Drosophila melanogaster: one gene and its partner. The protein of the gene in region 2 interacts with the protein of the main gene of each other region in a pairwise test. Each region holds a gene or a part of one and is shown on either strand. Other genes may lie near its edges. The genes, in order: ssp and ninaC.

Region 1 (4,662 bases), on a different chromosome or scaffold from region 2:
ACTTTGATACATTTAACTTAAATCGCGTTTGATTTACTGATAACGTTTACTTTAACAATATCCAAATTACGAACATTTGAAGTCTTAACTAATAAAAACTTTTAAATTGCCCGCCATTTTAACCAGGGCTGCGTATTAATGTTAAATTATCGATAAGCCAAACCAATAAACAGTGTTCAAAAACTTCACTAACTGCAACAATCGATATTACTGCACATCTATCGACTCTTGTTGCATCTCTAGGACAACAGGAACAGGAATTACAAAAGATATTTTTCCACCAATTATCAAAATAAAAACACAACAATTCACGCTATCTAGCGCTGGACACAAAAGACCGCAACGTAATGCCGTCCAGAAATATTGACGATGCCGCCGGCGCCAAGGAGGTTCACCGAAGTACAAGGAATTCACTGATCGGCCCGAAGAGCAAGCGAATCGCCCTAAACAGTCGCAATCGCAGTCTTGCTGCCGCCGAAAAGAAAACTCAGTCGCAGCTGTCATTCCCGCCAAAATCGGAGTACGAGAAGTTCTACGAGACCGTCTTCCTGGCGGAGGATTTGCAGCCGGAGGAAGTGAGTCCATCGCCCCACATGGGTTGTTGGGGTACTTACCCGGTTTTACCGAGTACAGCCACACACCAAATATCTTGTTTACCTATCCCACATGGGTGGCAATAGACCTGTTTACCTTTTCATAATGTGTTTTGGCACTACAAAGCGAGATTCGTTAAAACATGTGATAGGATATCAAATTTGACCTAATTTCTGTATGAAAGTCCACTTCAGTTACATAGTCCAACATGGACCACTAGCGAACATACTAAAATTCTAATTAATCACTCAGTAACCATGCTTCTAAACCAACTAACTCTTCTAGAATATAACACCAGAACGTCGTAAGCCAGGACCGCGCATGAAGAGCTCACTCCAAGCCCTGTTGAGCGATGAAGGATCACCGACGGGACCACAGCGAACCGCCAAGATAAACGTTGCACAGAAAATGGTCGTTGAGCCAGCGATCCGAGCCAATGGCATCTCGCCATTGCCCAAGAATGTTGGCAAGGAGGAAAAGTTTGAGGACTACTATACGAAAACGGAGCGACACGTTTGGAAAAAGGATGCGGAGAAGATGTTGCTGCAACTGTGGGCACAGCATTTGAAGGATTTTCGTGGAGAGTCCAAGAATGTGATCATCTACCGGCAAATGGCTAGGGAGATGAGTCAGTTTGGGCCCAGCCACACGGAGCTTAAAACCAAAATGGACAATTTGTCGCGAAAGTATAGGTGCGCTCTTATATTTTGCATACCAAAAGTTTTTATTTTTATAGTATATTAACTTTTATATTGGTATTTACAGAATAGAAGCTGAGAGAGTTCGGGAAACTGGAGTGCCATCCAAGTGGGAGCACTTTCATAAGCTTCAAGCACTTCTGATTGGCACGAAATCAGTTGATGTCTTCGAAGATATTACCGCCGAAAATCCAGGTAAAGTCGTAGTGCAATAAATGCTAGTTATGTCATTATGTCTTAAAAATACGCTAATTTTACAGCTCAAGCTTTGTTCAGCGATGAGGATTATGAGCCTGAGGAATTGTCTTCATTAAAAGACGAGCCTATGGCCGGGGACGATGGGAACGTATTCGAAAGTGATATGGTTGCTAGCAAAGCCATGAAAAGAACGCGAACTCCCTCTCCCAGTATTCCGGAAATCCCGGAAGAAGACGAGGAGGAGGAGGAGGAGGAGGAGGATGATGACCACATGAAGGATCTCTCCCCATCGCCAATTTCAAAATGTCAGACAAAACGGAAAGCATCGAACAACCATTCGGACAGACTCCTTGAAATAGAGGAGGAAAAACTGGCGATCGAGCGAGAAAAGCTGCAGGTTATGAAGGATGCACTGCTGGAGCTAAACGCATTTCACAAAGATATTGTTTATTTGCTTAAGCATAACAATCAGTAGTGTAAATATTAAGTGTTATACGTAGAAGTAGCGTGGTGTTACTTTTTCAGCAAAATATACAACTAAAACAGTGAATATTTAATGTAATATTGCTTCAACTTCAAATTAATCTAAATATATATATATATATTGTAAAAAGCTAGATTTTGCATTGTTATGATCTTACAAATTAGTTTCTTAAGTAAAAATAAATGCAATGAAATTATATTTTACTTTTTTTAGCAAAACTTTAATTACTTACTTTACTTTAATATTATAAATTTGTTTTAAATCGTATTTGTTACATTTAGTTTCTCAATTCGTAAAATGTTTTTTTATTTGTATTTTAGATATAATTTAAATCGATATCATAGAACTATCGATAGATATATGAAGCCAATACCGACCATTTCTAGAAAAATCGATATCGAGCTGCTGCCCATCTCTAGGCACATTTTGTTTATACTTTTCGAGCGTAAGGACGACATGATTGAGGCCCGCACGATGCAGGACGTATCAAAATTCGAATCCAACCAGGTGATCTCGGCGAAGGTGCTCCGCGGCGAGTACCGGCTACTACGACGCAAGCAGCGCGGCTCCGTGTGGAAGGTGTATCGGGAAATCGTGCGCACCGATGGTGCCATAATCAATGGACTCTACTTCTGCACGGGCTGCAAGCGCGTCATGCGATCCTTCAACACGTCCAATCTGCGCACCCACAAGTGCCATGTGGACTACCTGCGTACCGAGGAACTGTGCGAGGAGGGGATCGCGGAAATCCATCCCCCTAAACTAGACGTACGTACAACGACGCCATTAGAAGTCAATAGTAGTCCAAATTACCATGTCTCACTTGCAGGATTCGTTGGAGCGCCGCCTGAGCTGGAACTCCTTTCAGCCGTCCGAGTGGTCATTCCACGCGGTCGAACTGCTGCTCGAGCTTTGGGCAAGGCACTGCGTCGATTTGCGAGACTCACGCAAGCGGGTCCAGGTTATCTGGAAAATGACGGGCGAGATGAAGTCACTGGGTTTCACGTTCACGGAGATAAAGAACAAAATTGATGACATGGGCCAACAGTATCGGTAATAAGTGAATATACTTATTTAAGCATATTCCTTATCTAATATTACAATTTATTTCAGGCGAGAATCGCACATGGAAAAGACAACTGGACACAAATCCCAGTGGGAATACTTCGAGACCATGAAGATGATATTTAGTTCCGATCGTAACATAATTGACAATATGCCTCTGGATAAGTCTGGAAGTGCACCCAATACGACCAGCGAACACAATTCATTTGGCAGTCAACTTGACGAACCATTGATAGATAGGAACTACTTAAGGTCCCAAAAAGTACACCCTGGAGAAGGGGATAGCTTCGATATGAACGAATATGCGGATGAAGCACAAGAAGACGTGGATGAACTGCGTATTCTGAAGGATAACATAATCAGGGAAATCGAAGAGTCGTCCACAGTTCATTCCCAGGAAAACTATGAAGACGAGCTCGATCAACAGAATTCCAAGACCGAGGACATGAAAATTGCTAAGCGTCAAAGAGCTGCCAGAATTATGGAAATAGAGGAGGAAAAGCTGGTCATAGAGAGGAAAAAATGCAAACTGATGAAATTTTTCGTGCGAGAGATGTCGTCGTTTCATAAGGACTTCATGGATCTTCTATCTAATCCCAAAGGCGGCGCACATGCATAAATACCTGTTCGCGATTTGAGTGATTGCACAATAAAGTTCATTTCCACCGTTATTAACGTAAACTTAAAAGGCATCACATTCAACGAATTTTTAAAAAAATCATGTAACAGAAAGTTTAAATATCTCATTTCGGCAGTCACTCAATTTTTTATTTCAAATACGAATAAGTATAAAATGATTTGTGATTCATTGCGTTTTATTACAATTCAGCAGATATGTTTAAGATTTAATAAAATGAAGTCGTAATATCTTCGCCGTTTATATAATTTATTTATATATAAACCATGTATATCTGAAATTTGAAACGAAAAGTAGTGAAATAACTATTAATTTGATTGGTTTTAGAATATTTGTTGTAGATGACATTATATGTATTTTATTTTTTTAATTGTGTGGTTAATATTTTTTCTTTTCCTATTAAATTAAATTCGATACATGGTATTACATAGAATGTCGATATCGATTGTAATCGAACATCGCAACCAACTCACCGGTGATGCCACCTGGTTCGGAGCTCTGTGTTTTTAATTTTTTTTACTATGACCATAAGGATTGCGAGGCGAAATATGTTTTTCATACACGCCCCCGAGGAGGAGAAGTGCATGGAGGCGCAGCTGGACATCCTTATGAAGATCAACTCCGGTGAATATCGGCTGGTGAAGAAGAACAAGCGCAGTTCCGTTTGGAACGTCTACCGGGAAATCGCTCGTCCGGACGGCACCAAGTTGAAATGGCGATACTTCTGCATGGGCTGCAAGCGTGTGATGCAGAGCACCGGCGGCACCACCTCCAATCTGCGCATCCACAAGTGCCACGTACGGTATATCAAGCAGAACGGCCATCTCACCGACGGCAGTCACTCCTACGACCATGATCCCGCGCCACCAGCTAGCCAACCGTCGCCGCGCGTCCAGAAACCGAAGACCAGGCGGCCGACATCCTATTCTACGCAGTGTGAGCAGTTCTATGAGGTCACCATGGATCCGGAGACCCAGTACAGCGAT
Region 2 (8,482 bases):
TGTATAATGGATATAGTTTATGAAATACTGAGAGTATTGTTGTTGCGTTTTAGATCTTAAAGTGAGAAAAGTAAATCATTTAAATGATGTAACAAAGAAGCAAGCATAATAAGCAATGTTAATTCGTCGAATTTTTCCCATTTTTATCCTACGTCAATAAAATGCAAATTAATTGCTGAATTTATATCAATGTCTTTAAAGTTAAATGTTTGAGTATGCCAAGGTAGCATTTACCTACAAATAACCTAAATAATTAAGTGGTTTATAGAGATAGAAAAATGAAATGCGGTAAGAAAAAAGTGAAAATTTAAATAACGATTTATCCCAAGACATTTTATTTATTCCATTGTGTGAAACGTTTTTGAGAAAGTGATGAAGAAAACTTCAATCATTATTTTGGAATTTTAGGTGGGTTTTAGCTAAATTGTCTTATGGTTTGCATAACAATTAATTTTAATATTTTTACTCTTAATCACTAGTTTTAGATATCGACGGCATAGCCTGAAAGAGTGATTCCAGGTGCAATCTCCTCTTCTACATAGGATCCTGCCTCCTCGAAGGATCTAGCATTGCTATCTTCGAAGCTGCGACCCACGCTGGCTGGAGATTGTCTCAAGGTCGGAGCCCTCTGCTGCTGGCCAAACTTCCTAGACACACCATAGTTTCCCGATGATGAATTATAGCCCTCATCGTCTTGGTACCGGCGACCTGTCGAGCGTAGCTTGGGCGGCTGGAACGTGTGTTGGTCACCACTGTCCGATCCGCGGCGATTGTTAAAGTCATAGGTGTTGGTCTCGGATCCCCTCGGATAGTTAGTCTTGCGCAGCATAGCCTTGAAGTTGAATGGTGGATCCTCAGAGTTCTGGAAAGAAAATATCTGAAGAATTTCCTTAGGAAATTGACATACACTTACATCACCCTCGTTGCGAGCCATGTTCTGAAGTTCTCTAACTGGATCCGACGGAGGATACGAGGATCTTTGCTGATAGTTGCGTTGCTGCTGGTTCGGATTATTGCGATAATAGTTGGATGAGGGCATTGGTGGAGGAGGAGGTGGAGGCGCCGCATAGCCCTTCAAGGAGTTGCGCCTGGATCCGGATCGATGTACGCCCCAGTTCTGGTTGTTATAGTTGCTGTTATAGCTGTTGTAGGCATTGTTATAGGCATTCATGTTCATCTGCATTTGATTTCTGAAAAAAAGTGTTAGAAACTTAAGTTCAACCTTTGAGTATCTTTGCTAACCTCCTCAGCTGTTGGGGATCTCGGAAGTAGCCCTGATTGTAGATATTGTCGCTCTCGCCCATGCGATCCCAGTTGGTCTGGCAAGCCTGCTCCTTCTTATAGGCATTGTAGGTCAGGGCACAAGAAGTCATCGAAGGATTGCGTTGCAGAGGGCTGTCCCAAGGCTCATCGTCCTCCATGTGCTGCGTTAGTAGCTGATTGGGGAAGGCTTGGCGGGAAATGGAATTGGCCGGGTCCACCATATACTGGGTGTCATAGAAGGGTATCTGATCCAGGCGGAATGGCATCTTTTTTATGGGCACTGGCAGTGGTCCTAGCTGCGAGGAGTTCACTTCGCGCATATTGATCCTCTCGAAGGGCACAGCCCGAGTACATTTATTCAAGCCAGCCACCATTCGTTGGTTGTAGATGTGGACCTGGTACATAATATAATATATATATATATATATATTGGATTTGAAGATAAGAGATTTGAACTCACCTGCTGTGAGAGATTGACAAAGTCCTGGAAGCGAGCCGCGCGGTAGTGCAGGAGGACCTGGAAGATAGACTTCTCGCGCCATTTCTTGGCAAACGGACGGATAAAGTCGGCGGTGTTCTCGTTTAGTTGGCCGGACTTCTCGTTGACCAGCGGAGGGAGGCGGACGCGGTCGCGGAATCCCCTGAAGGCTGTGGGAAAATGGAAACGGAGGAAGGCCGTTAGAGTAACCCATTTGAAAAGCGGTCGCGGCGGTGGACGGTGGTGGTGAATGAGAGGGAAGTCACCTTAATTTAATTAAATTTTCATTTCTTTTCTACGCAGCACTTATAATTCATCTCTTTTCGCAGGGGCCGTCGATGTTAAGTGTTATGTCTCAGACAGCTATAAGCCGATTGGTTGCATCAGATGGAGAACACAACCGCCCAGCGGGATGGGGTGGGATGGTATCCACATTGGACACCACTAAGCGGCTTAAGTGGTTTGCCGAGGCCCTAGACTAGATGATAGCTGGTTGTTTGCGTTTTCTACATTTTATTGGTAGTCGTATTACGATTAGTATCGATCGATATAGTGATATAGTGTGTATAAATGGTATATAGTAGGGGCCTATTCCTCGGCGGAGGCCTGCTCGATTTTGGCTATTCGCACCGCTGCCAGAGCCTCATCCATTCTGGCCTCGAGGAACATCTCCTCCGCCTCCGAGGGCGTCTCGCTTATGTCGATGTGCTCCTCGTCGTACTCTCTTAGCCTATCCACCTGCGTTTTTTTACCTTTTTGTATTTTGGACGCGGCCACATCATGATGCTCCGGTCCCTTTTTGCCCACTAATAGGGAATTTAAAATTAGATTTCATACCATATACTGTATAAGTATTATTTATATCTTACATTTGAAAACTTTGCCGCCCTTAACTCGTTTCCGTGCTAGCAAAGCTCGCATCATGGACTGCACTTTGATGACCTTCTTCACCTGCAGCTCATACAATCTGAAAGCAATTGATAGTACTTGCTTTTCTCAATGCGTATGAATTGATAGCTCACCTGGCTAAGAACTCATCGTTATAGTAGCGCAAAAACACCTTGGTCTTGCCCAAGGCCCAGCCTTCCATCTTGAGGCGCAAGAATAATAGACGACAGTTATCCTTGGTCATTTCCACGGGCTCATCAAAGTCAAAGGCAAGGAATTGGTATCTAATACGAATATTTTAAATATTTAGAAATCTTTAAATGGAAACTGGAATGGAATCGATTACCCACCGCCTTAGGAACTCGTCGAATGGCAGACGCGAGCTGAATCCCTTCTGGCGAGCAATAACAGTGTCCAGAACTCCCAAGGCCTTCATCTGTTGCTGGACGACATCCGAGTGGAAGGATCTGGGCTTGTACTCCAGATCAGCGCGAATGCAGCGAACGAAGTGCACGCCGAGATTTGCATTCTGGCTTAGCATTTTGAGCAGGGTCAGGCAGGTGAAGCGGAAGTTGGCCGCCAGGGTACGTAGATTGTTCACTTGGGAGATGCATCCGGCACTTAGGGTATTCAAGGCCTGAAATGCATAGTTTACAAAAATATACCAAATTTAGGTTAGCTAATAAAAACTGTGACAGACTTACATATGACTTCCGTTCAGATTCATCCTTATGCTGCACTGCCTCGAATGGCATGGTGAGATTGCCAGCCTTGGTCAGTTGATTGGTGAACATGAGCATGATGCTCTCATCCAGCGAGGAGCGGAAGGTCTCGATCATTTCCGGCGGCACAAAGTCCCGGTTGATGTCGGTGAAGGCGCGCGTATCATAGATGATGCGGCCCGTGTAATGAGCCACGGATATTTCAGTGGCAGTGTGCTTCTTCACAAACTGGCTGTGCTTCTCCGAAACGCGATCTGTAGATGGAAAGTGGTTAAATCACATATCCAAAGTGGTGCCAGAATTGGTTGTATACCCATAATCAAATCCTGATCTTGACAGGAGCGTGAGGCATCGTCAATGATGTAGAACAGGCCATCCGGTTTGGTTAGCAGATTATCCAGAGCTGTCTTGTTGTCATAGAAATTCAAGTTGATGGTGTCAATGTCTTCAGCTTCCATTTCCAGCATTTCGCTGATAAAAATACGTTGATTGTAGTGATATTGCATTTGCTCGTTTAGAGTATTGATCATTAGTTGCTCCAGACCATTTCGATTAAAGCACTCAAATCCAAACATGTCGTGAATAATGATGGCATTTGTGTCTCCGCTTAAAAAGTTATTTAAGCCACATTGTTAAACTTATGAATTTGTAACTTTTTTTTTAATATTACTTACAACACAGCCCGTGGGAAGGACATGTTCATGTTAATCCTGTTGATGATAAAGTCCACCAATCGAGAGTAGAGCGTGCTGGCCACCGCATCGCGTGCATCCCTAGCTTCTTCAGTGGTGTACTGTCGCCTCTCGGCGATCCCGCCCTTGACCATAATGAAGTTGGTCAGAGACCACATGAACTTTTTCTCATCCACACGGAGGAGCTCGGCGATCCGGGACACAATGTCCGTGTTCTCCACTTCCGCATACTTTCCGTTCTGCCGGAAACGGATGTTGCCAATGTTCAAAATGGCAGCCAAAACTTTGCGAACGGTCTCCAATTGCTTGTGATTGAAATCAATGTCCCGCAGGATGTTCTCGAACTCCCTGTACCTCTCCACATTGCCCTCGGGATCATCACGACGATACTTGAGTTTCGATGGCGGAACCTCTGGCGGAACTCGCAGATAACGATAATTGCGATCAGCCTTCAGATTGTACTCCTTAAGCTGATTTTGCTGATTAATAAAGTCGTAGAAGTAGTAGAAGATGTGGAAGTTGTGCTGGGTTCCGTCCGTAGTGGCCACTCGTAGTTTCTCCAGCATATACATATTAAAAACGGCCCCACTCATTTTGCCGGTTTTTCCAAAGGTCAAGCAATATTGTAGGACACATCTTGTGGAGTCGTTGTTTACCGGAGTTCCTGCATTCACCAACATCAGGATGGCCTTGATGGAGCTCTCCACGCGCCCGGTGGCCCCACGATTTCCATCACCCAAGTAGCACAGATGCTTGATTAGCAGCCGGGCATTTGTGGACTTGCCCGAGTAGCTCTCTCCGGAGAGCACGATGTGTTGCGGCTCCTTATGATGCAGCATATCCTGGTAGGCGATATCGGCCACCGAGAAAATATGCGGCTGGTTTTCCGAACGCGACTTGAAGCGATACTTGGCATGGAACTAGAGAAAGGATAAATATAACATATTTAAGTATACATATTAGATGTTTTCAACTTACCTCCTGCGGAAATTCCTGCTTGATTTCATTGGAATTCAAGGATAAAAGGATATCGCCAATGAAACTGTACGATTCCCCCATCAAAATGCGATGACGCAGTGACTCGATTATGTTTTCATCCACGGGATTTTCCAAGGCAGCCAAGTCCTCCGGATACATCTTTTCCGGCTTCTCATCGAACCTCTTCACATAGCCGCGGTCCACGAACAATTCCGGCTCCTTGTACAAAGTCTTTACATCCCTAGAGAGTTCCAACATTTCTGCGATGTCCGATCGCATCTCGTCCTCGTTTTCGATGAGCTCCGTGAGGAATGGATGCTCCACCATCTCAACCATCATGGGCCGATTTTCGGCATTTTTCTCCAAACTCTCGGATATAAAATCATTGATCTGCTGCGACCAATTAGTGGGTCGCATTAAGGTCGGCGGTGGATTGCGAATGATCTGGAACATGGCCCTAGTGGGATGCATGTCAGCGAACGGTGGCTTTCCATCGGCCAACTCAATGGTAGTGATTCCCAAGGCCCAGACATCGGCACGAACGGTGATGTCCGGTTCGCGGGATTCCATGGCGGACACCACTTCGGGAGCCATCCAGCAGGGAGATCCAATGCAGGTGCCCCTCTTGCCCAGAGTGGAATCCACCTGACGGGATAAACCGAAATCGCACAGCTTGACCCGTCCATTTTTGGTCAACAATATGTTATCTCCCCGAATGTCCCGATGCAGGACATGATTACGGTTCAGCTCGATGGCAGCACGGCAAGTCTCCCGGATAATGTAGGCGATGTGCTCCTCTCGCATTCGACGATCCAGTTTCAAAAGCTTGTTAACCATGTCCACTGCTGTTCCCCCAGCGCAGTACTGAAATATTCAAATGGTTTATATAAATTACAAAAAATTGGATTTAAATTTTTGGAAAAAATTTAATAAAATATTAACAAAATGTTTTGACTCACCTCCATGACAAACCAGATCTCATCAGGTCCGTTTGGCTTCGACAGCTTGTAGACGCCATAGAACTCGGGAAGATTGGGATGGTCGCAGTAGTCCCGCAGAGTGCGATACTCCTCCTCGATGGAAACCTGGTGCTCCTCATCGTAGTGCTGAATCTTCAGGGCAACGATCCGATCATTGTCGAGCTCCTTGGCCCGAAAAACCTTGGCATTGACGCCTTGGGCTATCTCCTCGTAGATCTCGAATTTATCCGTAGGATCCGGCAATTGCGCGTACGGTAAATACATCATGACTTAGATGCTTATTCTGAATATTCGAAGAACATGTGGGTTAAACTTGGGAATTGGGTCTATCATAAAATGGGCTTCAAAGGTTTTCTTTTTCAATTTTCCCTCATGCAAATCGCATTATATTTGGGTTCATTGTTGCAAAACACTTAAGAATGGGCATTCTAGAGGTTTCATTGTAATCTTTTGCTTCTAATAACAATTTGCTTTTTCTTTAAAGGTGAAAGTTAAGTTACTTTGGTTTACTTAACGTAAGGATATTTTGGAATGTTTGCTTTGCAAGCACGAAAGATTTCAAGGACCTTTAAACAAATAAGATGCAATTTTGAAATGTAAAATTATAATAAAACCATTTTCTATAAAACACTTAAATAATTCATGTGAAAACGAAAAAGTTAAATGTACGATTTATCCTTGGTAATTAATCCTTCCTAGGTTTGTATTTTGAATCAGCAACTTTGGATAAAGGGATTCTAGGGGGTTATTTGTATTATATCCACTTCACAGGGCTTCAAACACTTAATCCTTCAGGACACACCTTCGCTGCCGCAGATTGGCACACTTATCCTGCAGCTGTGTATTTTTGGTTGCAAGGATGTACTTGTGTGGAACTTCGAACCGACCGCACGCATGCAGCACGTACCGCTGCCGTTAGCCAACTAAATGATGGGCCAATGCAATCGGAGGCTTTTCACTGGCAAGGAAGGAAGCCATTCAATGGGCAGTACCTGGGTGCACACCTTGGACAACTATTTAGCTGGCTAATTCAATTAGCGGCGGCGACATTCACGTGCAAGTGAAAAAAGCGGCGACACAGATGGCCAAAATGCCGAGGTGAAAGGGAAATTGGCAATGCGAGTGAAAGTCAGCTGATTGACAGACTAATTATGCATCTTATTGTTCGTATTTACAAAATATATTTATACGTATTCCAAATGGCTGGAGATTGCTAAACTAGGCATTGCATTCACACACGTTGTTTATTGATGTTTGCCCTATTGCGTACTTTATGTTTTTTTTTCTGTAATACTGATTTCTTTGTGTGTTAAGTTCTGTGAGAATGAAGAAAAGTCTTTTCTTATGCATGTGGCTGAGGCTCCATCGCTCCATCACTTCATCGTCCTTCGTCTTGCGTCCATTGTCCTTAATTGCATATGCTAATCCATTCCTCTACGTGGCACTCCTCGCACTCCACATTACAGCACCATTGGAATTTACAGTGACACCGCTCCGCCCTCCGCTGGATGACCTGGCTGTGGCCACGGCCACAGCAGAGGGAGGTGCATCCGTCGCTGGTCGTGGTGTTCCGATTGCACTTGCGTCCCACGGTGCCTGTGCGGAAATTGGCTCAGATTAGTCATGTTTATGTTTTTCTAAAGATATAATCATCAGAAAAGAAAATTATGTGGTATCTATTAAAATATAAAAATAACAAGTTAATAAAATTAGTGGTGTAAGATTTGCGTAATTAGCAAATGATTAAGTGTTCTCATCAAATGCAATCCATCGCCAAATGGCAGTTAATCCCGCCTACTGGCGGACAAGCAATTAAAAGACCATAAATAAACTATTAAACTAAAGCACAAACAAAGTATCATAATTGTTTGGCCGACGATAATTGCCAGCGTTAATTGCTATCATTTGAATAGACACGACACCGGACACGGACACATGAATCAAAACGCCCGATGGGCTGGCTGCTCCCCAGTTCACTGCTGTTGGAGCCTGAGTTGGAGCTTGAAGTGAAGCTGGAGTTACCGGGCTAAGCCGACGATTAATTATAAATTTGCGTCGTAATTAACACTTTTAAACTGCTGGCAGTTGGCGGGGCAGCAGCGACGCTTGATAATTTGCAAATGTGTCAACAGCAAAATGGCTAACGAAAATTGCAAGTGGCAGTTAGACGTCGATTTCGATGTGAACGTGCCGCAGTTTCGACCGATCCCCCAAGCCAGAGTACAAGCAAGGGGGGAGAAATGAGGGGATACAATTAACCCAAACTCATTTCCAAGCATAAAAAGTAACGATTTTCTTTTAGTATGTTTCGGCCAATTGTAGTTTAGATAACATATCAAAAACCTTTATTTTAAGAATGTCAAATAAGAACCCCCCTCAGATTTTCAGTCTCCGCCACTGCTTTATACAATCCAAACTGAGTTGAGCTGATCCGAACCAATCCAATCCGATCCGATCCAAACTGAGCTAAGCTAAGCTGAG

What was found.
Region 1: the proteins of ninaC (region 2) and ssp interact in a two-hybrid assay, tested with the Drosophila melanogaster proteins (one large-scale study listed by BioGRID).

What each region holds. Positions count from the first base shown.
Region 1 is NT_037436.4:12,115,885-12,120,546, forward strand, and holds ssp (sunspot), read left to right. Parts: upstream 1-2,372; 5' UTR 2,373-2,430; coding exon 2,431-2,742; intron 2,743-2,803; coding exon 2,804-3,027; intron 3,028-3,087; coding exon 3,088-3,658; 3' UTR 3,659-3,905; downstream 3,906-4,662. Other genes in the region: vers (versatile), read left to right, coding at 348-575, 880-1,286, 1,360-1,487, 1,553-1,965; CG11560 (uncharacterized protein), read left to right, coding at 4,198-4,662.
Region 2 is NT_033779.5:7,376,187-7,384,668, reverse strand, and holds ninaC (neither inactivation nor afterpotential C), read right to left. Parts: upstream 6,968-8,482; 5' UTR 6,804-6,967; intron 6,285-6,803; 5' UTR 6,269-6,284; coding exon 5,981-6,268; intron 5,886-5,980; coding exon 5,022-5,885; intron 4,964-5,021; coding exon 4,026-4,963; intron 3,958-4,025; coding exon 3,665-3,957; intron 3,606-3,664; coding exon 3,334-3,605; intron 3,267-3,333; coding exon 2,980-3,266; intron 2,914-2,979; coding exon 2,764-2,913; intron 2,709-2,763; coding exon 2,611-2,708; intron 2,548-2,610; coding exon 2,494-2,547; coding exon of another isoform or gene 2,330-2,493; exon of another isoform or gene 1,912-2,329; coding exon 1,724-1,911; intron 1,659-1,723; coding exon 1,243-1,658; intron 1,191-1,242; coding exon 914-1,190; intron 863-913; coding exon 482-862; 3' UTR 325-481; downstream 1-324. Other genes in the region: Wnt10 (Wnt oncogene analog 10), read right to left, coding at 7,410-7,597. UniProt on the Drosophila melanogaster protein: Required for photoreceptor cell function. The ninaC proteins combines putative serine/threonine-protein kinase and myosin activities. Essential for the expression and stability of the rtp protein in the photoreceptors.